Saccharomyces cerevisiae S288C: one gene and its partners. The gene in region 3 interacts genetically with the main gene of each other region. Each region holds a gene or a part of one and is shown on either strand. Other genes may lie near its edges. The genes, in order: NEM1, EMC2, ICE2 and SEY1.

What was found.
Region 1: mutations in ICE2 (region 3) and NEM1 together harm fitness less than expected from each alone (positive genetic interaction), as found in Saccharomyces cerevisiae (5 studies listed by BioGRID, with this or other methods).
Region 2: mutations in ICE2 (region 3) and EMC2 together harm fitness more than expected from each alone (negative genetic interaction), as found in Saccharomyces cerevisiae (4 studies listed by BioGRID).
Region 4: mutations in ICE2 (region 3) and SEY1 together harm fitness more than expected from each alone (negative genetic interaction), as found in Saccharomyces cerevisiae (6 studies listed by BioGRID).

What each region holds. Positions count from the first base shown.
Region 1 is NC_001140.6:111,254-119,371, forward strand, and holds NEM1 (Nem1-Spo7 phosphatase catalytic subunit NEM1), read right to left. Parts: upstream 1,842-8,118; coding exon 501-1,841; downstream 1-500. Other genes in the region: TCD1 (tRNA threonylcarbamoyladenosine dehydratase), read right to left, coding at 1-64; GPA1 (guanine nucleotide-binding protein subunit alpha), read right to left, coding at 2,246-3,664; protein transporter TIM10, read right to left, coding at 4,367-4,648; STP2 (Stp2p), read left to right, coding at 6,561-8,118. UniProt on the Saccharomyces cerevisiae protein: Catalytic component of the NEM1-SPO7 complex which acts as a phosphatase and dephosphorylates the phosphatidic acid phosphohydrolase PAH1. Essential for the formation of a spherical nucleus and meiotic division.
Region 2 is NC_001142.9:581,417-589,157, forward strand, and holds EMC2 (Emc2p), read right to left. Parts: upstream 5,958-7,741; coding exon 5,079-5,957; downstream 1-5,078. Other genes in the region: AIM24 (Aim24p), read right to left, coding at 1-200; EAF6 (Eaf6p), read right to left, coding at 498-839; ACF4 (Acf4p), read right to left, coding at 1,192-2,121; YJR084W (uncharacterized protein), read left to right, coding at 2,317-3,588; TMH11 (Tmh11p), read right to left, coding at 3,704-4,021; STE18 (Ste18p), read left to right, coding at 4,652-4,984; BIR1 (survivin), read left to right, coding at 6,302-7,741. UniProt on the Saccharomyces cerevisiae protein: Part of the endoplasmic reticulum membrane protein complex (EMC) that enables the energy-independent insertion into endoplasmic reticulum membranes of newly synthesized membrane proteins.
Region 3 is NC_001141.2:190,965-199,287, reverse strand, and holds ICE2 (Ice2p), read right to left. Parts: upstream 5,694-8,323; coding exon 4,218-5,693; downstream 1-4,217. Other genes in the region: AVT7 (Avt7p), read left to right, coding at 1-1,357; YIL089W (uncharacterized protein), read right to left, coding at 3,072-3,689; rRNA-binding ribosome biosynthesis protein UTP25, read left to right, coding at 6,093-8,258; YIL092W (uncharacterized protein), read right to left, coding at 8,321-8,323.
Region 4 is NC_001147.6:639,334-648,152, reverse strand, and holds SEY1 (dynamin-like GTPase SEY1), read right to left. Parts: upstream 3,588-8,819; coding exon 1,257-3,587; downstream 1-1,256. Other genes in the region: SWT1 (mRNA-processing endoribonuclease), read left to right, coding at 1-1,027; protein GET4, read left to right, coding at 3,821-4,759; polyphosphatase DDP1, read right to left, coding at 4,846-5,412; YRR1 (Yrr1p), read left to right, coding at 6,161-8,593. UniProt on the Saccharomyces cerevisiae protein: Cooperates with the reticulon proteins RTN1 and RTN2 and the tubule-shaping DP1 family protein YOP1 to generate and maintain the structure of the tubular endoplasmic reticulum network. Has GTPase activity, which is required for its function in ER organization.

The DNA of each region.
Region 1 (8,118 bases), on a different chromosome or scaffold from region 3:
GTTGGGTTGAAAACACCGATATAAGAGCTGTAGTAGCAATTAACTTCCACGTATTATTTGCCATTTGTTCGTTCTGCTATCCTAACTAATTGCAGTATTAATACTTTACTAACGCTAGAAAATTTTTTCATAGTCTTGTCTCTTTTCGCTACTGCATAAAATATGAAAAAGAAATCAAAAAACCTGACAGCAAAATGTAAAGTAAGATACGGGCATTTAGCGTGTCACTGCTGAAGATAACGTAAGACTAAAAAAATTTCAAGATTAATTCCCAACCTATATATATATATATATATATATATACTGTTTAGATCAAGTATATCTTCCTGCTAAATAATTAATATGCTCGTATGTAGAAAACAAAAAAGAGGTCTTTTCTCTTTTTTCTCCCGTTACTTTTTTCCCTGAATGCAATAACCTTTCCATTAAATGAGCAGCAATGGATAGGCGATTTATCACCTAAAATTCTCATCTTTTTTGGAAGGACACAATAACAATTGTCAGTTTATGTTGAATGCCTTCTCTCCATGTTTCAATGCCAGTATATTCCTGACATCTGTTGAATACCTCATAGCCTCCAAGAAAGGTAACAGGTTCAGTAAGTCCGTATCAGTTGGATCACTTATCCATCCTTCTACTTGAATAGCGTTATCTACATTCATTGCGTAACTTACCGGGCTGTTATCTATAATAATGACATCATCCAAAGAAGAGGAGCTGCCTTTCCCGTTTTCTTCGGAGTCCTTGACAATGCTCAAATCTTTAATGTATCCAACACCATCCCTTAGAACGCAATCAGAACGGTAATATCTTTTTGAAAAACTGGATGGGAAGGAGCTTTCTAACCAATCTATCACAGGATCAGCGTATTCTTTCATGGATGCTGTAAAAATGATAAGGTCGTACCATTTGCTAACTTTTGTCAAAAATAAATCACAGTAAGGCCTCTTGTGAATAAAGTATAGTGTACGAATTCCGCTCAATCCAAACTTCACTTCCACCAAGTGACCCTGAGAAGAATTACTATGCGTTGTACTTCGAGAAGCCGAGTGAATTAAGGTCTCATCGAGATCTATAACCAGTTTCTTTTTCTTTTGTGTGTTAAGCACGGATTTAGGTATCAGCTTCTTTGGAAATAAGAACCTTCCCATTCGTTTTGTACCAAATACGGTATTAGAACTTGAATGATTAGAAAGTGATAGTTCTGATTTGGAATAACTTCTTGGCCTTGATTTGACAGATTGAGCTCTAAGTAATGAGCCTTTAACATTATCCCTTTGTAGAATTATCTCATCACTGGCATTTAAGTCATCCTCAACTGCCTCGGGAATCGTATTTAGATTGCAATTTTTAGGATTTGTTTTCTCGCTAGAATCGTTAATATTGCTTGAACTGACAGGCAGCTCATTCTCACTAGCATTTGAACCCCTGTTTCTCTTATCGGTGTGTTTTACACGACGCTCGATGACACTTAGTGGGAAGGTAAAAACAAACCATAAAGACATCAAGGGCTTGATTATCAGATAATACGGAAGAAAAAGTAGTAGTGCCCACAAAATTGACGCTATTTTCTCTATTAGGATGGAACGTAAAGCTTTTGGTTTTTTAGGAACAGAATTTTTGCGCTCTTGATTTTGATCAGATTCTTTTAAGTGGCTTGAGGAGTGGTCGTACTGTTGGTCCACCTCACTAACGCAATCATTTTCGCTGTGGCTAGTATATTTGTTCGAAACTTCCTTTGAAGGGCCTAGTAGATCTTGATTCTTTGTCACCTCAACATTGATTTTTTTTTGTTTCTTTGTAGTTATTAAATGATTTGAGAAATATTTTAGGGCATTCATTCAATTAATGAAACAATGTCCAGAAATTAACAACAATAAAGAAAAGTGAGAATAGGATGCAAAATAGGTTCTATATATCCCGAGTATTTACCAGGGAGAAGAATTCGAGATAATACCCTGTCCTTACGTAGAAGAATCAATTGTTTTCAAGAGTTTTTCTTCTAAAAAAGTGTCTGGACCTTTTTTTTCTCATGCGATTTTATTACCCTTGTTTTTCAATTGAAAACCCGGAACGATTTAACGAGATCAAGAACTGTTGAACAAAATGGCTTTTTCATTTGGCATTCCATCATAGACTCTAATGGAGAAGAAAAATAGTAATTTTTTCTGGTGCTGCTGCTCCTTCTTGCATCTTCGGAAACAGAATTTACGTATCTAAACACTACTTTAATTATACAGTTCCTTCATATAATACCAATTTTTTTAAGGTTTTGCTGGATGATTAGATCGGTGACTGCACTCAATACGAACTTCATAGTTTGGGTATCGGTAGCGCAGGTTCGTTTCACGTAGATTGGTTTGTTTGTCTTATTCAAGCTCAAAAATATCTTCTCAAAATATTTTAGACCCGCTTCTGCATCGCCGACACGTCCCTGGTAATCAGGAAAGTACTTTCTTATGGGCATGCTTTTTACCTTTTCCTCGAACAAATCAATTTTATTTAAAAACAAAATAAACGGTGTATCTTTGAACCACTTAGAGTTCAATAACGTGTCAAATAGCATTATTGATTCATGCATTCTGTTCACTCTTTCATCCTCAAACAACATCTGGTCGTATTCACTCATTGCTAAAACAAATAAAACTGCTGTAATTCCTTCGAAACAATGAATCCACTTCTTACGTTCAGAACGCTGCCCACCAGCGTCGAGAACCTTGAATTTGGACGAGCCGATGTTAAATTCGGTTTCTGTAATGCCTGTAGTCTTTATACGGCCCTTCAAAATGTCTTCATCCGTACAGACATAATTCGGACTAGCAAATTTCTCAATGTTATCAAAGTAGTATGCAGCTGAGCCCTCCAATTGAAACTCATTAGAACGTGCAAAACACTGCTTTATACCTTTGTCGTTATTCCAAAGTTGCTTTATTGCCTTAGCAATGTCTTCGTGAATAAGATTTCGTCTATTTTGTCCTTGAATTTCCCTTGATGTTTTTCTAACAAACATCTGGTCATCGCCTTCTTGGTTCAAGTCCTTGCAAATATCCTGTAGGTTAATTCTACTACTGTTGTTTCTATCAGCATCCTCATTTTGCGTCACCGTTTCAGCATCTCTGTCAGTGTCACTTTTGACATTAGAAATATTTCCGTCTTCATCGAAAGCAGCTTTTGCTCGTCCGGTACTCTGAACACGCCTCCTAGTTTCATACCTTTCTGAGTACTTCAGTACATAATCATTTAGAAAATCAGAACCACCGGCAACACTGGCGTTGATATAATCTAAAGCTTTAGCCTTTAGCAGTATTCTCTTGCATGCAAACAAATCTTTATTGTTGATCGGATCATCACAGTCAAGTTGAATACCTAGTTTTCTGGCCTGAATAATCAAAATTTTCATTGATTGTATGGCATCTGCCCATATCACTTGAGCATACTGTAACCTTTCTTGATGGGAGAAACCGCCTTGATGTAATAATTTTAATTGTTTTAAAACCGTTGATTTACCTGACTCACCGGCACCTAATAGTAACAGTTTTATTTCATTCTTGTCACGTTGTTTCTCCAGCTGCAACGATTGCTCGATGACATCATTGGCTCTTTTGTTCTGTAGAAAAGGATCACTTTCGTCTCCTATTGTTTGCGTACTCACTGTACACCCCATTATTTCCTACCTTAATATATCAATTTATACACCTCTGGATTATTGATGTGATGCTAAAATACCAATTTACAGTATGAATAGCTTCTACTCAGTTTGGTCTTAGAAATGGTCAAAAATGTTAGAAACGGAGTGACAAGAAAAAATGAATAACAGATCAAAAGATTACGAATAATATAAAACGTAAAGAAATTGGTGGAATTCTACTATCCTCTTCATTTTAGACTATTTTTTAATATTTCCCTTTAAGGAAAACAATATGTAACAAAAAAATTTCTGCTCTCCATTTAATTGCATTTCTACAAGGAAGAATACGCAGAAGGACGCGCAGAGCCCTAAATTGATGTGCTTTTTAACATGCTGAGCCGAGTGCGTTTCGGTGAAATAACACGAAGATGCGTTTCAAATTGAAACTAGTCAGTGTTATCTGCATGAAAAGGGAATATCGTTATGCATTCAGTTTTCCAATAGAGACATTTTTTTTTTTTTAGATTCGGCTTGCTTTATCCACCTATGATCTTGTTTTCAAACAACATGTGCCATGTAAGATAAAAAGGTAAAGATGAAGTACAGAAAAGAGTATAATGTTACTTGTATATACAGGATATGAATCAATAATACTAATTATAACGTTGAGTCGAGTAAAACAGCTTATGGATTTCTTTTCTTATTTTCGTCTTATCATTACTGCTTTAATGCACATTTCTAAAACTTACCGGCTGCGTTAAATGATTGGCCCATTTTCTGCATGTTTTCACCGACTTGAACATTGGTCTCAAAATATTTGGCCACACATCTGTCTAGGCACGAAGATTCATTCTTATTCAGCTCACCCTCGGAATAAGAAGTATTGATACATTTTTTATAACAGTTATTAACCAATTTATTGAACATGTCTGTGACCAAATCTAGTTCAGCTTCCGCAGCTTGAATCTTTTGTTGAGATGATAATTGAGGCTGACCACCACCGAAACCTAAGAAAGACATGTTTTTCTAAGTATGATAGTTCCTTCTTTTGCTTGTTTATCTGTTAAAAGACATGAGAGGGGAACGAGGAGAGTAATAGTTCTTTAGAGAGCTTGCTCTTGTACGTTCACTGCCAGCTCTCTCGCTGAAAAAATTAAAGAAAAAAAATGTCCGATAGCTTCAGAGGGTGATCATCAGCTACGAATTGGGAAATCAATGCAAAAAATGCTTCCAATCGGATTTGAACCGATGATCTCCACATTACTAGTGTGGCGCCTTACCAACTTGGCCATAGAAGCTCTAATAGTGATAGGACCCAGATTATATTTAGTGACTTGTTGATAAATGTTTTAAAATATTACCTTCGTGTCGTTATCGTTACTGAGGAAAGATTTGCAAAAAATAATTACATACTTGGGCTCTTCTGAACGAACAAGTTAACCAAAAAGGTGTATATTACTTCCTCTTGTTTTGTTTCCGGGCTAATGCTTACCTTTCCTTTGTTTCCAATGTTCTTCTTTAACACCAAAACATACTATTTGAGAAATGGGTGAATGTTGAGATAATTGTTGGGATTCCATTTTTGATAAAGGCTATAATATTAGGTATACAGAATATACTAGAAGTTCTCCTCGAGGATATAGGAATCCTCAAAATGGAATCTATATTTCTATTTACTAATATCACGATTATTCCTCATTCCGTTTTATATGTTTCATTATCCTATTACATTATCAATCCTTGCACTTCAGCTTCCTCTAACATCGATGACAGCTTCTCATAACTTATGTCATCATCTTAACACCGTATATGATAATATATTGATAATATAACTATTAGTTGATAGACGATAGTGGATTTTTATTCCAACACTATTTGAGGTTTGGCAACTGTTGAAATTATTGTTAGGACATTGTTAAAAAAGGTTCTTTTATTAGGTCTACAAAAACAAAAAAAGTTTTTTCACGAGGACAGCGTGAATCACAAAGGTGAGGTCAATAGTTTTACATAATAATAAATAACGTTTTTTTTTTCTTCCTTTCATGTGTTGCCTTTCTTTATCCAATTACATTGTCAGCCCTTACATTTCAGTGCCTATTGAATTTGTTGACCACTTCCCATCAGCAATACCATCCTCTTACGCAATATATGATAATATACCCGCGACATAAATATTAGGTTAAAAACAGACGGCAAAATGTGCCTTGGGCGGCAAAATCATGAGAAGCGCACATGTCGTGATATCAATAGCACGGAATTCCAGAAGAGAGAAAATACCAGCACTTATAACAAATGATCACAGTAAGCGTGAAAAAGAAGAGCCTGTTGCTACAAAGAACATTGAAATGATAAAATAGTGAAAGAATTCCAATGAATGGGAATATGGATGGCATTTTGGCAAGAAATTGGGCGGTAAATTTTCGTAAAGCTGATTGATGGTCAGCAAAACTCTCTTCAGAAGAACCAGAGAAATGGGCCAATTCTCACGAAGAAAATTCTTATAGTGTGTAAGCATAGGTAACGATCACGATACCATTAATTACCTGCAGTCAAGAACGAGATTTATTAACTGAAGAAAAAAAACAGACCATTTCCCACAAAAATTGTCGACGTTTAACTTGTGACTGATAGAAAGTTATAAAGTAAGCTATTAATGGAGGTTCTGAACGCATGACATGCTCCTCTAAGGGCTAGAATAGAGATTATAATGTTATTTGAAGATTGAAAGTCTGTTACCCTTCTTAGAGTCATCCATTCGAACGAAGAGTATCTTTTTTTAGAATTCTTATCATTTTTTTTTTCTCTTCACATTCCAATACGGGCAAAAAGCGAGAAAAACGATGATTAATAAATGAAAAACAGTGATTAATCATCCGACAAACAGACAAATGCAAGAGAGCAAAAAGTTGGGGAAGTAAGGAAATCCATTATCATGCCTATCTTATCACTATCTTCAACACGGAACAGCGTGTTAACAAGGATATATGACTACCTTAAAGCATTAGTGCAGCAAGTGATTGTGCCCAATGTGGAAGACGACAAATCTTCGAAAAGTACTCCTTTCGAAAAGTTAGAACCTGCGAAACAGAACCATCCACAGAAAGACTGCTGTGCTACCGAAAAGGACGATCTGGTTGACGTGAGCGAATTATTTCCCAAACAGAACAACAAACAATTGAGTCTAACATCAAAATCTTCAGTTGTACCCTGTGCTTTAAATTTGGATAACCTAGAAACACCTTTCTCAATTAAAATTGATAATAATGGTGCAGTCACTACACAGTTGAACTTGGACGAACCGATTTTACGGGGCCCTAGCCGCGGCGAGCCAGCAAAGTTACAGAATGACTTGATAAGTTCTCCCCCGCTAGAGGAATCCTATATCAATAATGACCAGTACAAAGCTCTTTTCCCCTCTAATTTCCTTCCAATCACGCCCGTAAGTAGCGTAATCACTCCTGCATCGAAGAAAAGTATTGATGAATCTCCCCTATCCGATGAGGTTCAAGGAATTGCTGATGAGTCATCCGAAACTTTACCATATATATGTCACTATTGCGATGCTAGGTTCCGAATCAGAGGTTACTTAACACGACACATAAAAAAGCATGCGAAAAGGAAGGCCTATCACTGTCCATTTTTTGATAATAGCATTTCGCAAGAATTGCGATGCCATACTTCTGGGGGGTTTAGCAGAAGAGATACCTACAAAACACATTTGAAATCTAGACATTTCACTTACCCAGAAGGTGTTAAGCCTCAGGACCGTAATAAATCACCTGGAGTGTGCACTCAATGTGGGGAACACTTTAGCACTAGTGAGAGCTGGGTGGAAAACCACATTGAGGCTGGGAGTTGCAAAGGTTTACCAGAAGGCTATTCAGAGGGAATACGAGAGAAGAAAAAGACGTCTAAAATGAAAATGATAAAGACTTCGGATGGCCAAACAAGGTTCATCTCATCCGACGAAAGTGTTTCCGAACCAGCTTTACAAAATAAGAATTGTATAGAAGCGACAGTAATGCAGTCCAAGGAACGCCCTAATGACAAGATCATACCAACCAAAACCGAAAAAAACGATTTTGGAATAGGCACTCAATGGTTTGAACGCAAACAAATATCAAGACCTACACAAACTACACAATCAAGAGGACCTACAGAAGTCCAAAATCTCAAAGAGTGGTCAATAATATCTCCCCCAATTTTGTCACCCCAAAATGCATCTTCTGTACCACAAGAGTATCAATCATCAAGATACACATTGCATATGGATTCTCCAGCATTATCCTCTGCCTCCTCAGCGCTATCTCCACTTTCAGGCGATCCAATAACAACTACAGAAACAAATAAGTCATACCCATTGGATTCAGAGCAATCGTTGTTGGAGCCAGACAAAACCGAGGAGGACGCAATCAATCAGTCAAAGGAAAGCAATATGATTTCCATTAATGAGATGTTACAGAAGCAAATGGACTTTGAACTTCTGGGTG
Region 2 (7,741 bases), on a different chromosome or scaffold from region 3:
ATATCTGGTTGAACAGTGATAGATGCAATTTTACCATTTTCGTCTACTAGCCTGAAACGGGAAGTCGCAATATCCTTGCTTAAGTTCTCGATATATGTCCTTTCTTTAGTTACGACATTACTCTCCGTCTTGGCCGCTTGTGGGCTCAAAAGAGAAATTGATCTCTGCCAAACTCGAGTATTCACCCTTGGGCTTATCATGATGGGTGGATATCCTTTTCTGTGCTTCTGTTTTGTTTATCTGTATCCGTTTATTCGCCAGCCAATAAAATGACTGGGAGCACGGGACCTTTGAAATTTTGCCCTTGTTAGTAAATCGTTATAAAAATACTTATATAGATATTTTATAGAAAATGAAAAATAAAAGAAATAGCCAATATGTAGGTATATCGAACTTAAAGGTCACCTGTCGAAATCATTTCCTTCTTCTCTCTTTTTCTTTTCAATCAGATGTTTTAGAGCGGTCAAGCAACGTAAATACCAACGTGTGCTATCGCATTAGTCGTTTTGTGATTGGCCATGCTGCTGCTTCACGTACGTAGCACTACTTAATGAAAAAATACGATCATTGTTATTGAATGCAGAATCTGCATGGCTGTGGTGTGACTTGGAGAAGGTATCAAACCCTTTTATGATGTTACCAGAATAGTGTGATTTTGACCCATGGGCTCCCCCATGACCTGAATGGTTGTTATTACTATTGTGTGAGAAATACTCGGTCTCTTTATCATATATCTCTTGTTGTAAGTTGTCAAAGGTATCTTCTTGCTCTCTTCTATCTTGGAGGGACTTTTTTAGTTCCGCTTTCAATGCTTCATAACTTTTCAGCTCATCAGTCATTTTCTTCTAGGCGTAGGTTGGTAACAAACGGAAAGATGATGGAAAATGGCTGTTCTCTAAAGATGTTTATCTTACGTATATTCTTTGCTTTCGTTGTGGCTTTACACACCTTTAATCATTAATTTAATGGCATAGTCGGCAAGTTGTTGAAGGACCTGGGTTAATCGCCTACATGTGAGGTTTTTTTAAAAATATCAATTACATTTAAAAAAGGAAAGCAGTAGTACCAAAAATCGGGCAAAAAAAATTTACCTAAATAAAGGAATGCATAAATGAAGCCGTTTAATCTTTGTATTTAATGAGAATATTACATATGAAGGTCTCTTGAGAAAGCATCAATAGTGGACATTAGCTACCTTTTAAATAAATGAACGGGTATGTCACCCATGGGTTCAAACTCTTCATCATCCTCGTCTTCACTGCGTACTTCATCGTATTCGTAACCCAAATTTTCTTTTATGTAATAGTGATCTTTCTTACTTTTCCTCTTTTCCAAAAGGTCATCGAATTCGTCCTCTTCCATATTCATTTGATTGAATTTGTTAAGTATTCTTTGTAAGAATGGTGTGTTCTCCCCAGCAGTTGCCGTGGTATTAGCATTCTTCATAGTATTCCTTGGGGGTAGCAAGGGAGGACCCGATGTTGGAGTTGATTCTGAACTACGGCTTGGAGCAATATTTTGCATACGTTGTGACCGATTAGGCGGAGGGTTCGGTTTACGATTGGGTAGAGTGTTATTTATGTTGCTATTAACATTATTATTGGGCTTACTAAAAAAATCGTTTATACTCTTTTTTCCCTTGAGCATATTTGGTGAATTATTTACGTCCACAAATGTCTGTTGAATTCTTTTGGTAAAAGTAGAGAGGTATTCACTTGGGTTCTGGTTACCTAATTTCTGTTGTCCATTTCGGGGCAGTGTATCTTTGAACTGTAACTCTAATTGTTTTAATTCTTTTTGGGCGACCTCTAATTTGAAACTAAGTTCATTGATTTCTCTGTGTTTTGCAGCTAATTTATATATTAAATCTTGGTCTGTTGAAATCGGACTTGCGTGGTCGCTCACGGGTGACTGATTTGTCGTAGATCTTTGCGGACTTGATATAGGTATAGCAAGTCTTTTGGGCTTTAAAGGTGTCGTAACCCTTGGTGATTTTGATTCAGGCTGCACTTCATGTTGTTTTTGATGCGGCTGTTGCTGCTGTCCTTGGGAGTGTTTATCGACAATCGACAGCTTATGTAATTCAATTGGTTGACTAATTACACGCTGGTCTTCTGACATTACTTTAGGGCGTATGTATGGATGTATTTTGTATTGCTTTTGGCTAGTTAGTAGTATTCCTCAATCGTATTGTTTTTGATTTTGAAAAAGCTAACGATAAAGGTCAGGAAAAAAAAAGAAAATTGTATGTAAAGGAATGTCTGGAGAGAGTTACACAGGAACAGAAAGGTCCAGCAACGGTTTCTACAACCAATCATGGATGTTGATATAGGATGTTATTTTGAAGAGAAACGCTATGACGACAAACTGTTAGACTTCATCAGATATGACGTTAAAACACCTAAAAAGACTAAATATATACTACAAAGGCCTACGGCGACAGATGAAGAGAGTGTACGATTACAAAGGTTTTACCAATTAGGAGTAGATCTAAAATTGAAGTATTCCAAGCGGAGGTCATTGAAGAAGCAAGGGCGGATCAAGAATGCTACTGAGGAATTGCTGCGATTAGCCAATGAACAGTTGAAACTTTTCAACAGAATAGTAGAAAGAGAAACCAATTGGATAATTTATCCGCTGTGGGTAATGGCTAAACAATTAATTCGTCTGGCAAACGAATCTAGTGAACTTAATAAAGACTCAATTGAGGAATGTGGACGCACTATCCATAGAAGCTTTACTATATGCCTCAATGATAGGAACCCAAGATTGAATGAAAATAAAAAAATCGGGTGTTATATGTTTGCTAATCTAGAGTTTTCCATCTACCATCGGTTAAGTAATAAAGATATGATTAAAAATTTAGTGAAAGTCCTCGAGAGCAGAGTGAACGCCCGGGATATACCACCGTTGAATAAAAGCCTGGCAATGGAACATAAGTCTCAAGTGGTGTTGTATAATTATTATCTAGGTCAATACTACGGATGTCTGGAAAACGATCACGAACGCGGGTTCTTCCATTTAAATGAAGCATTATTGCAATGTCCAATGCTATATGTGGAATCTACCGGCAAGTTCGTCTTACAGGGCCAAATGGAAAAGATAATGATACTGCTGGTTCCGCTTGCTCTTTTAACTAAAAGGTTGTACCCTCACTGGGATCATCCAGTAATCGCCGGAGTAATTACTAGGAGTAAGCGCTTAAGTCAAGTTTATCCGACATTAGTGCGTAGCGTAATCTCAGGGAACCTGTCACTGTACGAGGCTACCGCAGCAAGCCATGAAAGATTTTTCCTTTCGCAAGGATTGCATGTCGTCATCACATTACTTCGAGAGGTGGTCTTCACTCGGTTGGTACAACGATGTTGGCAATGGGGGAATGATCGGAAAAGTATCATGCCCTTGAAAATTCTTCTGGCAACAAAACAACACGATAGTTCTGCCAATGAGGACGAAGAGGAGCAGTTGGATGCCCTAGAATGCCGTCTAGCAAGTGCTATAGCAAGTGGGCTTTTGCGTGCTTATCTTTCTCACTCCAACCGCTGCATCGTTTTCAGTAAGAAGGAGCCCTTTCCCCATAGCAAATGATAGAAAAATAGTCAATAATTGAACGAAGAAAAAAAAAAGAAAGTTTGTTCATAAAAGAATATCATATTATATATATATATAGGGTCGTATATATATCGTGCGTCTTCTTCCTTCTCTAAGGGTAAAATTCCTTGTATTTGTTATAATAGTAGTAACTGCCGAGCCCACCCAAAGCTGTCAAAACGACAGGGACAGGTTTAGTGAACCTGGAAGGCATGCCTCTTATGACACCAGCACCAAGTAGTAAGGTCGATGCACCCAATGCCATTTCGAGCCCACCATCTCTATTCATATGTAGCAAGTAACCGGCAATCCCATATACACTACCGAATACTAAGCCAGATACTAGAGATGGAATGGAGCCCTTACGGTAGTATCCCATAAGGCCACCGGCTGTAGTCAAAAGACTCAATGTATATGCTGGATGTTCCATAGTGTGATCTGATGTTCCTTTCTCTCAAACTTCGTTTCTGTCTTGTCTCCCGCTGTTACCTAATAACTTCATGTGATCTGCTCCCCCTTCTCGTTAAATACCACCTTTTCATCAACCCCGTAGGGCGCGACACGTCTAAAATATTAACCTCTGAATACTTATTGGGTCAAAATGAATGTTGATAACTTTCCTTTACAAAAAAAAAACTAATAGAGTATATGCATTTCGGTAGTGAAATATTCGTTAATGCTAATATGCTCAGTAGTGATCCTAGATTACCAGTTTTACTGCAGCCATCGTACAATTTTGGAACGAGTATAAAGAGAGAAATTAAAAACGACAAGAAATATTCGTACTAGCTTCTCTTCCGGCTTGATGACAGTCTTAATATCATCTGCAACTCTTGAAATCTTGCTTTATAGTCAAAATTTACGTACGCTTTTCACTATATAATATGATTTGTCAATGTGATGAGTGAATGTCTCCCTGTTACCCGGTTTTCATGTTGATTTTTGTTTCAGGCTCTAAATGTTTGATGCAATATTTAACAAGGAGAACAGAAATGTTTTGTGACAGCACCTGTCAATTTTAGGATAGTAGCAATCGCAAACGTTCTCAATAATTCTAAGAATGACATCAGTTCAAAACTCTCCACGCTTACAACAACCTCAGGAACAGCAACAGCAACAGCAACAGCTTTCCTTAAAGATAAAACAATTGAAGTTAAAAAGAATCAACGAACTTAACAATAAACTGAGGAAAGAACTCAGCCGTGAAAGAATTACTGCTTCAAATGCATGTCTTACAATAATAAACTATACCTCGAATACAAAAGATTATACATTACCAGAACTATGGGGCTACCCCGTAGCAGGATCAAATCATTTTATAGAGGGTTTGAAAAATGCTCAAAAAAATAGCCAAATGTCAAACTCAAATAGTGTTTGTTGTACGCTTATGTAATGATAGTAATAGAATCCAAAAAAAAAAAAAATATACATGCTTTTTCATATCCTCTCTCACCCTATCTTTTTTTTTCTTCTAATTTTGGCTCCGTTCATATCTTATTCAAAATTAATTCAGCGGTAATCTTATCTTTATTGTTAGACTTCGCAGAAATTTCCTTTAGCTTCGATGCAGATAGTTTGATCAAGTCATTTTGTTTATTACGTCCCAGTTCGCGAGAAATGATGTTAACCAATGCCCACCCTTTTAGGTATAGTTCGCTAAGTTCAACGCTCCTCAAAGCATTCTTTAATGCCTTTTCCAAGAGCTCGGTCTTGGTTTGTTTCTTGCTACGTAGAGCCTCATAATACAGAGTCTCACTTAGCCTACCAAAACAAGCGTAATTGAATGGTGTAATACATAGGACCTGTTCCAAACAATAACAGGCTTTTTCAAATTGGCCCATTTCGAAATAAATCTCGCTGGCATACCACCACAATTCTGCATCAAGCGGGAATTTATCTGTAAGAGCTACCACTTCTTTAAGAACACTTTCTTGGCTCAAGTTCTTGGAAGTTGTCTTGATAGCTATCAATTTCTTTGCAATAGAGACATAAGTAACGAAGTCCGTTTCATACTCCAGATCATCATTCAACAAATTTTCCAGATATTCAATAGCGCCTTTATCATTTCCGTTTATCTGCAATAAAGTGGCTTTCATGATTACCATTTTATACGAATTTTCACCAAGACGATCTCTTAATGTATTATAAACAACTTGCGCATCAACGTCTTGGTTTCGGTACACCAAAACATAGAAAAGCATTTCCATCAAGAAGAAATAGTTTCCTTCTGTTAGTGCAGAGTCTCCGCTTTTCATGTAAATTTTCATTTCATTTTCTAGTTGCAGTAATTGTTCTGGATTAAATTGAGTATACGCTTTGGTATTCATAATTGTCAAAAGCTTTTCTCTAACCAAATCCTTCAACATTGTTTTATCTACTGCTTTCTATAATTTTCTCCGTTCCAATGCGATCCAATGCCTTTCATTCATACATAGTTATTTATTTCATTAACGATCCAAATCTCTTTACTTAACTTCACTAGTCAACGCTTCTAACACATCACGCGATACGAAGATTAACAGTTTAGTATAATATTGCAATACATACCCATTTCACACATCGGTCAAGGTCATCAAGCACTTTTAGTTATAGTGTGTCCTATAGTTCTTTCAGATTGATTGAGGTTTCATATTAGTGTTGAAAGCCTAGCTAAAGTTCTCTGGGCGTGCAACATTCGAGGACACATCGGTTGTTTATACCTCATGGGATTATGGATGGTCAAATAGATAAAATGGAGAAGCGATATAGCATGACCAAACTGGAGAATAGGTTAAGGACTTTCCAAGATGGTGTTGCACTTGAAAAAAAAAAGTTAAAGTGGAGTTTTAAAGTTATTCCGTATCAGGCAATGGCCAAGCTTGGATTTTACTTTGATCCAGTGATCGATCCTAAGACATCTAAACTGAAAAAAGACTCTGTAAGATGTTGCTATTGTCATCGTCAAACATACAATGTGAGAGACTGCAGATCCAAAAGAAAAGATGTTCTTGAGACTCTAAGCAATATAATGAGGCAACATCTGACTGTTACTGATAACAAACAAGTTTGCCTCCTTATTTACTTGCGCAATAAGCTATTGACGGACTATAGCTTCCATATGGGGGTTTCGGACTGGAAAAATGACAAGTACTTCAGCAATCCAGATGATGAAAACGTGATAAACCTAAGAAAATTTACTTTTCAAGATAACTGGCCTCACAGTGGTTCTCAAAATGAACATCCGCTGGGTATAGAAAAGATGGTGAATGCAGGACTCATGCGATACGACTCCAGCATAGAAGGCTTAGGCGATCCAAGCATGGATAAAACACTTATGAACGATACCTGTTATTGTATTTATTGCAAACAGTTGTTACAAGGTTGGTCAATAAATGACGATCCGATGAGCCGACATTATAAGGTTTCTCAAAATGGGAACTGTTATTTCTTTCAGACACGTAATCGATTTGAGAGAATAAAAAATGACAATGACAGTATCACGAAAAATTGCGAAGTCTCTCCAACTTTAGGCGAAAATGGGAAAAGAGAAGTGATCAACACGAAAACCGCTTCTCAAAGGCAGTGTCCTTTATTTGAGTCACCTCCATCTAGTACTGGTCCTCAACTTGACGATTATAATGAGAAGACAGATATATCTGTTATTCAACATAATATAAGTGTGCTTGATGGAGCACAAGGCGAAAATGTAAAACGTAATAGTGTGGAAGAAAAAGAACAAATCAACATGGAAAATGGAAGCACTACATTAGAAGAGGGCAATATAAATCGTGATGTTTTAGCAGATAAGAAAGAAGTTATTTCGACACCAACTGCAAAAGAAATCAAACGTCCAAATGTCCAGCTAACCCAATCATCGTCACCTATAAAAAAGAAAAGAAAGTTTAAGAGAATATCGCCTAGAAAAATCTTTGATGAGGAAGATAGCGAACACTCCCTTAATAATAATTCTGCCAACGGAGACAACAAAGATAAGGATTTGGTTATAGATTTTACAAGCCATATCATAAAAAATAGAGATGTAGGGAGAAAGAATGCTATTTTAGATGACAGCACAGATGAATTCAGTTTCAGTAACCAAGGACATAACACATTTGACATACCTATACCAACCTCATCACATTTGCTCAAAGGTATAGATTCAGATAATGAC
Region 3 (8,323 bases):
TATTCTTACATTATTGGCGGCGGTAACATCCGGTCTGGGTCTCTTTGTGCTATCGAAATGTTCCAAGACCTTAATTAATCCAAGAAACTCTTCTTTCTTCACATTATGCATGCTCACCTATCCCACTTTGGCCCCAATTTTTGATTTGGCAATGATAGTTCAATGCTTTGGTGTGGGCTTAAGTTACTTAGTTCTTATTGGTGATCTCTTTCCAGGACTGTTTGGTGGTGAAAGAAATTATTGGATAATTGCATCAGCTGTAATCATCATTCCCCTATGTTTAGTGAAGAAACTAGATCAATTGAAGTATTCTAGTATTCTAGGTCTTTTCGCGCTAGCATACATATCAATTCTGGTGTTCAGTCATTTTGTGTTTGAGCTGGGAAAGGGTGAATTAACAAATATATTAAGAAATGACATATGCTGGTGGAAAATTCACGACTTTAAAGGATTATTATCAACTTTTAGCATTATAATTTTTGCTTTTACGGGATCAATGAACCTATTCCCCATGATAAATGAATTAAAAGACAACAGCATGGAAAATATCACTTTCGTTATCAATAATTCGATATCCTTATCAACAGCACTATTTTTGATCGTTGGTTTATCAGGATATTTAACCTTCGGTAATGAAACCTTGGGTAATTTAATGTTGAACTACGATCCTAACTCAATTTGGATAGTAATTGGCAAATTCTGTCTTGGCTCAATGTTAATTCTTTCCTTCCCGCTTCTCTTTCATCCGCTGCGCATAGCAGTTAACAATGTCATCATCTGGATTGAGATCACTTATGGTGGGGCAAATCCCGAAGAGGACCCACAAGTTTCGGAATACACTCGTGCTTCCAACCTAAGACCAATTAGCATGACTGTGGAAGATCCAGCCCAGCCCAGTGATGCACTAGACGCAACTTCTTATAACGAGCAAGAATGTTTACTACCTAACGGGAACTTTGATAATGGTTCAATTGAAAGTCAAGAGAACAATAATGATGAAAGAGGGACTATGGCGGTCGCCGGGGATAACGAGCATCATGCGCCATTTGTTAAGTCTAGATTTTACTGGATTACTGCATTATTACTAATAAGCATGTATACCTTGGCGTTGTCTGTCCAGTCATTTGCACTGGTTCTTTCATTTGTAGGGGCTACAGGTTCAACGTCTATTTCATTCACTTTACCTGGATTATTAGGTTACAAATTAATAGGCTTGGATTCTTTGGCTATTGGGAAGATGATTCCACCAAAAGATAGATTTTACAAAAGGTGCAGCTTATTGCTAGTCTTCTACGGACTATCTGTGATGTTTTTGTCATTGTATGTAACTGTATTCAACCGTTCAGATGAAGCCTAAATGGACCAATAGTCATGCAAGAGAAGTATAAAACAGTATATAGTAAATAGTAAATAGAATCAGAGACAGCAGACTCAAAGTTTTATGCTTAACGCGATCATCGACTAGTTTAATACTTTATTCTATGGCACTTACAAAAAGGTATTACCCTGCTAAACAATAAAGATCCCTGAAAAAATGGAGCAGGCTCAGAGAATGTGACTTCATGCGCTTTAGTGGTAAAAATACTGCCTAAATAGTCCCTAAAAAAAAAAGAATAAAAAATAACTCCGAAGCGGGGAGTCGAACCCCGGTCTCCACGGTGAGAACGTGATGTGATAGCCGTTACACTACATCGGATTTGATTAGCTTGATTTGAATAGAAAAACATGTTACCATATCAGTAAATATGAATGATCTTTATTTATATATATATGTCCGGAAAATTGTAGGAATAAAAACCTGTTGGAGTAAAAATCAACCATCATCTATCAACTAGTAGTTACACTATCAATATATTATCATATACGGTGTTAAATGGTGACGCAAGTTATGAGAAGCTGTCATTGAAGTTGGAGGAAGCTGAAATGCAAGGATTGATAATGTAATAGGATAATGAAACATATAAAACGGAATAAGGAATAAAACGGAATGAGGAATAATCTTAATATTAGTATGTAGAAATACAGATTCCATTTTGAGGATTCCTAAATCCTCGAGGAAAACTTCTAGTATATATACTGTATACATAATATTATAGCCTTTATCAACAATGGAATCCCAACAATTATCTCAAAATTCACCCATTTCTCTCTTATATACCATAAGAATATACAGTATTTATCCCTAATTATTACTGCCTTTCAATTACTGTTCATTGACAACTGGGAACAAATAAGCAAGCCGTATTAATAACCACGGTAATTACTGTTGGAACGAGAGTAATTAATAGTGACATGAGTTGCTATGGTAACAATCTAATGCTTACATCGTATATTAATGTACAACTCGTATACGTTTAAGTGTGATTGCGCCTATTGCAGAAGGAATGTTAAACGAGAAGCTCAGACAATACTGAAGCTGTGTTAAAGACCTATTAGTTGAACATGTTATGGTAGGTACATATATGAGGAATATGAGTCGTCACATCAATGTATAGTAACTACCGGAATCACTATTATATTGGTCATAATTAATATGACCAATCGGCGTGTGTTTTATATACCTCTCTTATTTAGTATAAGAAGATCAGTACTCACTTCTTCATTAATACTAATTTTTAACCTCTAATTATCAACAATTACATATAATTATATGTTCTGTTATGGTTTTCTGTACTATCGAGGAGAACTTACAGTATACCCAATATATCCATAGATTTGCTTTTAAAAAAATGCAATTTACATTATTATTTGAAGATTCACCTGTGTTTCTAAACACGAAATTAAAAAACGTCAGTAATTCATATCGTTCTTAATAATTATTTCTCTCTGCGTTTTTATACCCTGTCACCCACTCTCCCACTACAATGTTAATCTTTACGCATCAGCTTCCGGAGACTATTAACATTTTTAATCAATTCAGCCGATGTTATAATCTGCTTCATTTTCCGAAGATCATATGTGATAATGGCACGAAAATATCGAACGCTAGACAGTGTGCAGTAGTCCATTTTTGTTTCAATCGCAATTAAATGCTATCCAGATTCAAGATACTATCGAAAAAACTACAGTTGTTAAACCTCGTCACCGCCTGACGATGATTTGTTTGCAAAAGAATCCTCATACACATCAAGAGGCGCACTATGTGATTCTAAATGGTCCCCGTAAAAGGCGAATAACTTCATATTAAGAATTGCATTAAGTTGCCAAAAGAATAGCTCTAAGAGTCTGTTTAGATCAACAGTCTGATCAGTTTTAAAGAACTTATTAATCTTTACCAACGAATAAACCCCAAAACAGAACGTTCCTAGACATAGGAGTGAATGTTTGAATTTGAACCACTTGGGGTGGTGAGCGTTTGCATTACAGCGAGAGCACGAAAATTTCGAGCACCGTTTTGTTTTCCTTTTGAAGTAGTGCTTCCCAAAGTTACCATCTTCTAGCAGTAGGAGTTGGTGCGTAGCAAAAATAAACAGTGATATCAAATCAAAGACAAGTTGTACCTTCAAAAACTTTGCAACTTTTGGATGCTGCTTCTTTAAAGGATGCAATGGCGGAATTAGAAATGTGTCAACTATATAGACGATATCGGCAACTCTTGATAATTTTTTAACCATTATAAAAAATCTAGATCGGGGTACTTCAGTTTGGTCTATTGCGACACTCGATTCCAATTCCCTCGTACGTTGCATTCCCAAATTTAAGAATGGATTCTTCTCATTATTCACTTTTCTAAGAGGGAAAGAATAATAATCCAAGGATGAAGATCATCTTAAGTACCTCTTATCGTTGTGATAAGAGAAGAAAAAGGGTTCTTGGAAATTAGCAAAACAGAAAAAAAAAAACCGAAATAAAATTATCTAGAATAATCTGCATCGGCTTCAGGTTAAAATCTACCACGTAATAAAAGTAGTATTTCAGGGAAATGTTATATATTTATATATTTATGTGTCTACATATTAGAGTATGAGTTAAAATGTTCATTGTATTTATTAGAAAATAGTGGTGAGCGTAAGGGATTTTCACTATGAACGTGCAAGGGACTAATGCAAATAATAACAAAAAAAGAAACTAACCAAATGTAAAAATGGTTCAGGAATGGCACTTAAAACAGATATCATCTATCACTTAGTTATAAGTCAGTTGGTATTTCACCTTCCTTTTTGTCTTCGCGTATTTGGCAAAGCTGGTAATGCGGCTCTTTTGACAATGCATCAGCTTCAACTACCAGAACCTATTAATTCTGTAGCGTATACCAAAATAGTACAGAAAATGTTGCACCAGTTCCAAAATCCCCATGAATCTACTATAATTTCTGGTTGATCTACGCCAAACCACTTTTCACTGCAACCCCATATGCACAGGTCTTTCTTTAGCTCACCTGAATATTGTAAAATCAGGTGAGTATACATAGCAATTAATATGCAAGGACTGTACCAATACAATCCCTTCATGATCCTGCGACTCTTGCGCAACTGTTTGTCATTTTTTCTTTGTAATGCTGGAATAATCCTCGTTGCCGAGTAAAACATCAGAACTCTAAAGCATAAATTGATTACTATAGCTGGGGAAACTGATTCGCTTGCCATCTTAATTGTAACTTGACAAAATTCATTAATGGATAGCGGAACACTAAAGGTGAAATTCTTGAAAAATTTCCAAAATGGTTTAGATATCAAGGATACTTTTTCGAATGATAGAATGCTAATGAGTTTATCATGAAAATCACCGGTTTTCTTTCTTCCTCTAGGAATAAAGGACCCCCATAACACCTCTGCATTTTTCAATATGACATTATGAAAGTAGCACAAAAGATTGTCAGCTGTGGGCAGATTTCTTTGATGTTTCTGCCAGACGTCTTTGAACAAATTTAAAATTTCATCAGTCGCGGTAGTAGCTAATTTGGGGGAAATTTCATAAATACAACGAACAATATACGCAAAAAATAAAGAGCTCTCTATGACGGATCCTTTTTGACTCACAATACCATACAACCCCAGTCCACATACCATAGACAAAACAAGTCCTAATAAGGACGCCGTTTGGATGGATAACGGCCATATGGGGGTGACATAAATCCGATACAAATAGTACAGCGATGCGGTAATCACACCTCCGGAGGTTAACAATGAGGAAATAATCCACGTGTTTGAATTCAAGTCATTTGATAACCATCTATTAGTTTCCCCGACGGCCTGAATGGCTAAAATAGTGAAAAAACCTTCCGATAGAGTAAAAAAAGGTGTGGACTTGGTAAGCACGAATTGCCACGGTTGTACAACAAATCGATAGTAGTAATAATATAAGACGTAGTTAATTTGATTGGAATTCAAGCTATTTTTCAAAGCTTCCAGGAACGACTCCGACTCATTATATTTATTTTTCAGAACGTTTCCCAACTCATCATTAGAAAATCCAGACAAAAACAGGTATAGCAAAGATGCAATGATAAAATGTTGTGAGTAATACAGACAGTTGGTAAAAAAAATGTATAGTCTTCCTCCATGTCGTCTTGCCAACACGTTAAGAGTCGTAGTTATGAAATATAAAGTGAACAGTGTCACCGTGAAGGAAAGCCCGCATTCCAAACCACCAACTTTAAACGAGATTGGAATTGAAAGTAGTGTGAATAACAGATAGAAACATGCTGCGCAGATTCGTCCACTCTGCATGAAGCTTTTGGACAAACTGGTCATCGTTGCCTAATCTTTAGCGTGATCGGCCACAAACAGCACCTCTCTAATAGATCTAAGCAATTACGCGATGGGCTGAGGGGAGCAAAACGGAAAAAGAAGCTTCACGAATACTATAAGATCCACCAACACTTTACGCACAGCCCTTCCAGTATCACTACACCTCGATCCTTTACCTATGTTCATCTTCTCATCAATCATCTCTCCGAAACCAGTAACCGCTCCAGTCCCTTGCTTCGCTTCAAGCTGATGCGATTCCTCGTGTACCATGATCTGAAAAATTTTTCCTTCGCAATACTACTATAATTTAGCTCATCGCATATTTTGCAATAATATAATACAGGGAATAAACTGCATTGGTTCAGTGAGACGGTGGTATAATTGCGAAGTGACCAAATTGTAATGAGTGACAGTTCTGTGAGGGAAAAGAATGATAATTTCCGTGGCTATCGGAAAAGAGGAAGACAAGAACTGAGGAAGATTAAAAGATCTTCTGCCAGAACTGAAGGCGGAAGCACAGAAACATTAGAGGACGTAGCAGAAGATATTGACCATAGATCCGATGAGGATGAAGTGTCCGATGTCGACAGTGGCGATGATTTCGATATTGAGGATGAAGAGGGTAAAAAGGAAAAAGTTTATGACGCTTTATTGACGATTCTCAAATCTGAACATCCAGAGCCAAAAAGAAGAAGGCGAGAGGCTGACGAGAGTAACAAAGCTCCTGCCGAAGTTGGGGAGGATGAGCACGAAAATACAGAACATGGACCAGTGGATGATCAATTGGAGATAGAGAATGGCCTTTTGGGTAATCACGAGGATGATAACGACGATGACAGCAGTGGAGACGAAAAAGATATAGACAGTGAAGATGAGCAAGATCCTTTCGAGTCTCATTTCAACCAAGTTCCGGAGAAATTCGTTGATAAGTTGTCGAATGCTTTCAAGACCAAAAGTGTAAAATACAAATCCGTAAAGGGCTCACTAAGTGACAGTGAATCATATATATATGCTAAACCGGTAGTAATTGGTGAGGAAGCATTGGTGGAAAGTCCGTACAGGTCATCATCTATATATTCATACTTTTTGAAACAAAGGCTAAAAGTGCAAAATGGACTATTGGATAAAAAAACTGATCCATTGACTGCTTTGCAAAAAAAATTAGTAGACCCCATGTTTCAGTATAAAGACATATTATACGAGTATGACTCCTACGAAAAGGACGAAGACGAGTACAGAGATTTATATGCTTTGCATGTTTTGAATCACATCTACAAGACAAGAGATAGAATCTTGAAAAATAATCAAAGATTACAGGATAACCCAGACACTGAACACCTAGATCAAGGTTTTACAAGACCAAAAGTGTTAATTGTAGTCCCTACTAGAGAGGTGGCGTACCGCGTTGTAGATAAGATAATTTCAAAATCTGGTATAGATCAGGTTGACAAGAAGGGAAAGTTCTACGACCAATTCCGTGACGACTCCTTACCTCCAAAGTCCAAACCAAAATCTTTCCAACACATATTTAGGGGGAACACCAACGATTTTTTTGTTGTCGGTCTCAAATTCACAAGAAAGGCTATAAAACTTTATAGCAATTTTTACCAGTCTGACATTATTGTATGTTCGCCATTGGGTATTCAAATGATCTTAGAAAATACAGATAAAAAAAAGAGGCAGGACGATTTTTTGTCCTCAATAGAGTTGATGGTGATTGATCAATTACATTCAATAGAATACCAGAACATATCTCATATTTTCACCATCTTTGACCATCTTAACAAAATCCCGGATCAACAACATGAAGCTGACTTTAGCAGAATTCGGATGTGGTACATTAATGAACAAGCTAAGCTCTTCAGACAGACAATGGTATTCACAAAATACATCTCGCCAGCGGCTAATTCATTAATCAATGGTAGATGCCGTAACATGGCAGGAAGATGGAAGAATCACAAGGTAATAGGATCAGAAAACTCCAGTATTGGGCAATCCGGTTTGAAAATCAGGCAAATCTTTCAAAGATTTGACATTATTGGGAATTCGATTATTGAAGAGCCTGACTACAGATTTAAATTTTTTACAAGTGTCATCATTCCTGGTATTGTCAAATCCACCGGGTATGAAGACGGAATACTGATTTACATTCCTGATTACACTGATTTCATTCGTATTAGAAACTACATGAAAGAGAAGACGACGATTTTATTTGGGGATATAAATGAGTACTCTAGCCAAAGACAGCTCAATGCAAATAGGTCATTGTTTCAACAGGGGCGTCTAAAAGTTATGTTGTATACGGAAAGACTGCACCATTATAGACGTTATGAAATCAAGGGTGTCAAGAGCGTCGTTTTTTATAAGCCTCCAAACAATCCTGAATTTTACAATGAAGTTGTCAGATTTATTGGTAAGAACGCCTTTCTAGGTAATACCGATTTAAACATATCCACTGTTAGATGCATTTATAGCAAGCTTGATGGTCTTTCACTCGAAAGAATTGTGGGGACGAAAAGAGCAGCTGTATTATCGCATGCACAAAAGGAAATTTATGAATTTAAATAAATATTAGCACTGCCACAATGTATAGAGTACACAATGAAGAATATTATCATTCACAAATACTTTTA
Region 4 (8,819 bases), on a different chromosome or scaffold from region 3:
TGACGATTTACCGCTGTTAAATCCACCTACTTTGAAAACTGCCTTTGTAGTCGACACCAACTTTATTATTTCGCATCTAAACACTTTAGAAAAATTGAGATCACTGTCCAGCACTTATCATCATTTGATTATTGTACCAACCACCGTAATCCAAGAACTGGACGGACTAAAAAAGAGCCCTGATATTGCTAGGGACAATGACGATACAACTAATCAGGAACATGATAGGACAATAGGCACATTGGCCAGATGGGGGAACGACTGGATTTATAAGAATCTAGCCAATTTAGATTCCGGTTTAATAGGTCAAAAATTGAAACAAAGCTTGAATCCAGGCAGTTTAAAGGATGACTCGATATTGGACTGTTGCTTGTACTTCAAAGAGATTTTAAATTGTTTTGTTATTTTGCTTTCGAATGATAAGAATCTTTGTACAAAGGCATTAACTGAAGATATATTAACTGTTTCATTTAGGAAGAACATGGATGCGAAAATAATTGCAATGAGAGCATATGAAGAAAACCAACTGAGATTTGCTAATCTGCGTGACTCTACAGTAAATAATTTCGATCAGAATGTCACATCATATGCTCATATTCCTGGAATAGAAACGCCCCCTTTGCAATTCGATAAAGTCTCACAAAATGTGTTTGAGCAAGTAAAAGAAACTATTTTCTTTGCTATTGACCACACTTTAAGAAAGGAATATGGTGAAGATATTGGATTCATAGATTACAACCCAGATAAATTAACTACCATAGAAAACGCTTCGAATTACATTTATTTGTTTTGGGTGTCTGTATTTTCGGAACTTTTCACTTGTTCAAAGATAAAGAAGAATGAGTGGAAGAGCTTACCAACAGTTTTGAAATCAAAACCGACAAATCTGAATGACTTAAGAACATTTGAACAATTTTGGGAGACTGTATTGCATTTTTTATTCAGCAAATTCACAAATGAGGAGAAACAATCTTTAGAGAAACAGATTCATGAATGGAAAACATCTATCAATGCTATATCAACCTGAAATGTTTTGCTTAGTGTAAATCTATCAGATTTATTGAAGCCACTCACACAACTCATAAGCTTGCGATATGCATTTGCATATATTTTTAATGTCATATAAATAGTTCCCTATAGTTATATACAAACACACAGACACGTTAGGAGAACAGTAATTATAATAATAACTATAATAACAAAAAAGTAAACACGGTAAATTGAAATAAATTATTCGATCAAAAAATATTTTCATATCATTTTTCTTTTTGCTCGTTTTTTGAGAAATCTTTCATTTCAAAAGATTCCTTCACTTCATGATCTTCAACGACAAATTGCCTTAGTTTATCCTTTATTGCAGTTCTTGTTTCACCAACTGCACTTTGAACAACATTAACAACAGGGCCCCAGAGGCCGAACTTATGAATAACAAAAAAGGTTGCACCTAAGATCAAGGTAAGGGTTACAAATAAGGGGTTTCTTATGACAGCCACGAATTCGTTCCACCCTAATACGGCTAGCAAAACGTAAATCCAAGGTGGAATATGCGTTCTAGTAGTGATGATAGACCTTTTCGAATCCAGAACAGTAATGTTAATCTGCCTGCGGAATTGATCTAAAACATTCTCCTTTTGCAATTCAGTCAAGATGTGTGCGAAACGACGGGAATGAAACACACCTTCGTTGTCCCGATATATTTCGTTGTCCTCGCCGCTTTCCTCTTCAGCCATTGGTACATCAGGAATAATTTCAACGTTATCTGAGGTTACAGCAAGTGAAAGAACCTCAAAAACTTCCAGGGCATGTTCTTTTGCAACACGGAATGCCCCATCAATCTCTTCTTCTGTTTTCCACAATCTTGGAGAACCTTCAGCATCATATCTGAATACATCTTCAAACCTGTCTCTCAATATACTAACAATCGTATCTATTTTCAGGTAGTCATGTACTGTGGTATCCAAGGTTCTCCACGCCAATATTCTAATATTTTTGTAAATCTTCGCGTTTTCGCTCTCTGAAAGTCCAATTTTAAAATCATATTTATCTTTTTCCACTTGATACGCAGATATATTGTCTTTGATAGTAGATTCAAAATCGTTCATTATATCATCCCAAACCTTTTTGGATGGATGTGATAGTAAATGAATCACATGATCCTTTAATTCGGGAACCAGATTTTTTTTAATACGACCGATTTTTGCTTTCAATTCAGCATCACGTAGTTGCTTGATTCTTTCTTCAATATCGTCGGAAAATTTGCAGGTAATCTCTTCGTTTGATATTAGTAGCCCTAACTTTTTGAAGGTCTCCATTGATTCGTTAAATTCTTTCTCAATCTTACTCTTACCTGCCGCCACACTTTCTACAAAAGAGGTAGTAGCTTTGTCTCTAGAAGACACCTCCAATTTTAAATCGTCCCATAACTTTTCCATTAATGATTCCAAGAACTCATTAATTGTACCTGAAATATGTGAATTCAGCTTTGTATTTAAAGCTTCTCGTTTCTCCATATAAACGTTTCTTGCATAGCGCGATGCTTGTTCATCATATTTTGTCAGACATTCTTCTTTTAGCTTCACTAGCTGAGATGTTAAAGATCCCAAGTTACCCTTTAAAGGAGCAATCGATTCATCATATTTTGAAATGAACTCTTCTAGAGCTTCATTAGATATTTCTTCAGTTTTAAATCTAGCAACCAGAATTTGCTGAGTTGGAAGATCTAAATCCTTGTTACGTTCAATTTGATCCCAACAATTTTCTGCGTACATAGTCCAACCATCTAATGGCAACCTATGGTGATATTGAGGTTTGAAATAATAGTTTTCCGTACCTTTCATCACAAACGAATCACCTAATTTCTTGACATCCTGGGTAAATTTGTCTTCTTGCAACAACTTATGAGCTAGCCCGACAAACTTTAAATCGAAATAATCATACAGGCTAGAACCCTCACAACCAGCAGGTTTACTTAACTCTGTCCATATTTTTTCCAATTCTCTCGTAACGGAATCACTCAAACTCGAGAGTGGAGTCACACCTACATGATCTCTAATTACAAAAAGTAACAGCACCTTGTGGTCATTATCATTCTTGCCAAATAGGGAAAGGTTGACCTCAAAAACTGTTTTTAATAAAGCCATATTATTACCTTGATATAGCCCAATTTGCTGCTCCCACATATTAACTATAAGAACTTCAGATACTGCAATGGCAAATAAAGCGGCTTTTCTCTCAAAATCTTGGTCTTCACCTCTTTCTGAACCATCGGAGCCCTCAACATCTAGCACAAAAATATCTGGACGATCATTATCGATTTCAATAGTTGTATTAACCTGTTTAGTGTGAGCCAACCAAATGCCTTTAGTAGTCTGCTGCCTTTTCACCTGAGCATCCATGGTATCAAAGTTGGTGTTAAACAAGACGTTAAGTAAAGTCGATTTACCACTCGATTGAGAACCGAAAACTGAGATGACATGGTAATCTAGACCAACATCACGATTTCCAATACATTGTTGAAAATATTGTAATGCACTTTGATGAAATTCCTTCTCTTCATCTATCAACTGAATAGCAGGTCTATCAGCCATGACTAAAGTATGTCAACCGTCGAGTGAGTTAGTAGCCCGTTTGTTGAAATAAGTCAATAATTATTTACCATCAAAATACACCTTTCAGTATTTTGTTCGTTTTGTCGCTCTTCGTTAAGGTAACAAACAATGGGAAAAAAAGTGAAAGGAAAGTCAAAAAAATGAAATAATAACATGTGCGGTAAAACAACCAAGTAAACATCATAAAGGGACATAAATAATAATAACAAGCTATGGTTCCTGCTGAATCTAATGCTGTACAAGCGAAACTCGCTAAAACCTTACAAAGATTCGAAAATAAGATCAAAGCTGGAGATTATTACGAAGCGCATCAAACGTTGAGAACTATTGCTAATAGATATGTTAGAAGTAAATCATACGAGCATGCCATAGAACTAATTAGTCAAGGGGCCCTTTCATTTTTAAAGGCGAAGCAGGGCGGTTCAGGCACGGATTTGATCTTCTATCTTTTAGAAGTTTATGATTTAGCGGAAGTTAAAGTTGATGACATCTCAGTTGCTAGATTGGTTAGATTAATAGCCGAATTGGATCCTAGCGAGCCCAATTTAAAGGACGTTATTACTGGTATGAACAATTGGTCTATCAAATTTAGTGAATACAAATTTGGAGATCCTTACTTGCACAACACCATTGGTAGCAAACTATTAGAGGGAGATTTCGTTTATGAAGCTGAGAGATATTTTATGTTAGGTACACATGATTCAATGATCAAATATGTCGATTTACTATGGGACTGGTTATGCCAAGTTGATGATATCGAAGATAGCACGGTGGCTGAGTTCTTCAGCAGATTGGTTTTCAACTATTTATTCATCTCTAACATATCATTTGCACATGAATCAAAAGACATTTTTTTGGAAAGATTTATTGAGAAATTTCACCCCAAGTACGAGAAAATTGATAAAAATGGTTATGAAATAGTTTTTTTTGAAGATTATTCCGACCTAAATTTTTTGCAATTGTTGCTAATTACCTGTCAGACTAAGGATAAGAGCTATTTCTTGAATTTAAAGAACCATTATTTAGATTTTTCTCAAGCTTACAAAAGTGAGTTAGAATTTTTGGGCCAGGAATATTTCAATATTGTTGCTCCTAAACAAACGAATTTCCTACAAGACATGATGTCGGGATTCCTGGGCGGATCGAAGTGAAAAGAGCATATTTGCGAAGGAATAGATAAATATGTTTGCGGTGGCTTGACGACCATGACGTATATACATATATATGTATGTGCTAGCTATTTGTCGTCTTTAATGATAGCAGACCTATTAAGGGCCTCCAACAATTCAGGCCTCTTGGCGTCTATCAAGTTTTGTTTAGCTTCTGTATAAGAGTATAGCTTTCTATGTCTTTTGTGACATTCCGGAAATTTATCAAGGAGATTTTCAATCTCTAATTCATAAAAATGAAATTCGGTTCTTGGCGGGTGCTTTGCTACTTCTGAATCTTTTCGAGAGTTCTCGAATTGCTTAATGTCTTTGTTCCAGTCCTTAGGGGGTCTCATGTCTTCAACTGTACCCAAATTGGCGACAATTTTACCTATGCAACCAGCTTCCTCCCAAGTTTCTCGTTGGGCAGTCGTCTCGTAATTAGGCTCGTCTTTCTCAACGCCACCTTTGGGGACAATCCATCTTTTCTTGTGTGCAGAAGAAGTAATCATGAGAACTTGCTTCTTGTCGGGTGTTAAACATATGCAGCCAGCAACTAATCTTGCACCTGTAACGGGTGAGTAAACCTGGTTTTCTCTTCCTTCACGTGCTGTCTCAGAACGTACTGGACCATGATTATCCGCGGTTTTGCCCATTTTGTGTTTCCCCACGCTCTTATACTCCTACGTACTCACTGTTCCTGACCTTTCAGGCGTTATTTCAGTGTGATTTCATGTCTTAAAGTTGAGGCTTCCCTTTACACTATTTACCTCCGCGAGACGTTTGAGAATTAAGCCGCACGTGCTCGCCGCAGATGTTCTTTCAACGACAAGAGAACACCATGCTCCTACTATTTACGCATTATTTACACAGTATACCTTTCTGATGATGAAGTTTGAAGGTTTAAATTCTGGGCAGTAGCTGTTTTTACGGTTGTCTCAATATTTCTCATTCTGCTTTATAATCACGGGAGTATGACAGCATTACCAATCTCTATCAAGATGAAGAAAGATGAGCATGATCGTTTTAAGCTCACATGGAAGCTGTAGTTATTACCAGTATATCCTCTTTATATATAGCGAATGTAGATTTCTGCCAGTATCATACTGGCAGAAATCATAGTGAACGGAGTTAAATCCGCGGAAATTAGAAAAACGTTAAAAGGTTCCATGCCATATTACTAATGGGGTAGAGGCTGATATACGGGGAAAAGGATAACAATACCAAGACATTTATAGTATTCCACATCACTAGACGTATGTAATAGACAACTTCCCCTTGGAATTACCAAAACGCCAAAAATTCGGAATTACAAGAGAAAAGTTAGATCAAAGGAACAACAAGATCAACGAGAAAGTGGGAAAGTTTATTGCCCTCAGCCGTGCCAATAAGAATAGCGTCACAATGAAAAGAAGAAGCGATGCTTTGTTGGGAAGTTTCCAGGCCACCAACGTTACGCCGCCAAGCGATAATAGTAATAGTACGGCCGGTGGAGCCAATGGAAGTAACTCAGGAACACCAACTTCTACTAGCGGTAAGAAGAGAAACAAGCTTATAAAATCTTGTGGCTTTTGCAGAAGGAGAAAACTTCGTTGTGATCAGCAAAAACCTATGTGTTCTACATGCATTTCTAGAAACTTAACAACCTGTCAATATGCTGAAGAATTCAACAAAAACATCGAAAAGAAAGCTACCTATGGTCCCTATCCTAACGCCGATTTACTTAAGAAAGTTGAAGAACTAGAAAACAAAATACGTATTCTAGAAGCTGAAAAAAACACTAATTCGTCTGCGAGCTCCATGTACACTTCGCCAAATTTCCCTCCTTTAGGCACTAGTGTAGGTAGAGGTTCTACTGAAACTTCATCTCCATTACCCGATGGTGTAATAAATCCATATGCCGACCGGTACTACCTACAAAGTAAACATTCCGGAAGATCAACACTATACGGCCCCACTTCTATGAGAACCCAAATTGCAAATAGTAATTGGGGGTTCATTGAAAAATATAAACAATTATGGGCGAAGGTTAAAGTAGAAAGAAATAAATGGAAGCAAAACAACCAAAAAACGATGTGCAGGGAACTAGGCCTTTTGGATGAGTCGGATTGGCAGCCAGATCCATTAATCAAACAGATATGTCGTTTCCTACCATCATATAACAAAGCTTTGTCTATTTTAGATGATTTCTTTAATGATGGAGCATGCAATGAGATCAACGTGATTCTTGATAAGGCAAAAGTTAGAAGAGACTTTTTAGATTATTTCATGCCCGAAAAAGAGGTAAAGGCGGAAGGTGACAGATCCATAGTTTATATTTTATCCAATCCAAAGAAAAATTATTACAAAGCTGCTGTGATACTATTAATCCTATGTCTGAAATACTTCCATACAGATGTCCCAACCCCAATTGAGAAGTTCTTTACTTTACTAAAGGGGGCCTCCACCGCTAAGGTGTTCTACATTGAGCGTGCACAAATGTTAATACTTTTCTACTACCATCGTGAAACATATTCATTCGGTGGAGATGGCTCCGATTTGGTTAATATAAATGAATGTTTAGTTACTACGGTTACTACAATAGGGTTGCATTTAAACATTAGAGAAACTTTCAAGGAACATGAGGTTTTTATGGGTAGCATCGAAAGTTTAGAAAATGTCTGGTTAATGGCAATATTTATCGATTATAACATATCTTGTAACGTTGGTAGACCCTTATTGATTAACAAATTTTATCTAGACGAAAACCAAGATCATTGCATATTGAATAGTAAAAGTAAAACATATGAGGGGAAGCTGAAAAGATATTTAAAACTTACAAGGCCAATGTTGTTAACTCTTTATGATAGAGATAAATTCCCGGATTTGAAAGCTTATTCCAAGCGAATTATCAATTTTGTAGAAGAAGAACTTGGTCCACTTGGACATTACACAGGTGAAAATATATCGGAAGAAGTTCCATTAAGGGAAAGTAGAATTTTAAGTATGGCAGTCGGACTATTATTGTCGTTTTATGCACTAATACATTCTGTGCTGAAAGTCAGAAACATAGAATCCAAAAATAATACGTTTCAATTGGTTTTGATCAATTTTTCCATCATTGTGAATACCACAATTCGATGCTATCGTATCGACAAAGCACTTTACCCAGAGAAATTCGAAGCCTCCAACCCGCACTTACCGCCACATATGGCGTTATCAATGAGCCTCACGGCAGGGCTTTTTTCCAAAACATTGGTGTTTTTTTGTTCTCTGATCTACTTTAAGTTGACGCTTTTCGAAAATGGACTATGTCTATCCAACGATATGGAAGTTGGATGGTCGGATTTGACGAAATTGACTGTTCCTTTAGACAAGGATCTATCTTTAGGTACAGCAATGAGCTTGTACTCGTCAATCTTCGATCGCTTGTTCACGGTCGGAAATAAAGAATTAATACGCACAATGCATAGATCATCACAATTTGTGATAGAGCTAGCTATTGAAAGGACCTATAGGACTATTCTTGGCAACGTTATTGAATTCAGAAAGTTGACCGAGGAAACATGGCTAGCACAAATCAAACAAGAACTAGATCCGCAGAGCGATAATCCATCATCAGAAGCTAAAATTGTGAGTGATAGGCAGCGGGATCTCAGCCTTGCAGTTCCAACGCCCACGCCCTCAATAATTCCAATGTTACCCTCGCCTGGTGAAACTAAGAACCATGCAAAGAGTCAATCAGAGATCATTCAGATGCTGACAGATGAATTTTGGGCAAATTATAACTCAGGCTGGGAAGAGTTGATTAATCAATCTGAATTTTCCACTCTTTTCGATGATTACAAAGACAATTAATGCTAAGTCGAGGCAATCTCGCGGCGCGACTACTTTGAAGCCTTTTTTTAGTTCTTTTTTATGATCAAAATGTTTATATAATTACCCAGATTATCAACCCACTTCGATGATGGGCCGCACCTGACAGAAAAAAATGAATCAACTGGCTACTAAAGATGGTACAAAAGTTCACTTTATTCAGATATAGAATTGCTGAATCGCTGCTTACCGCCATACGCTTGACTAC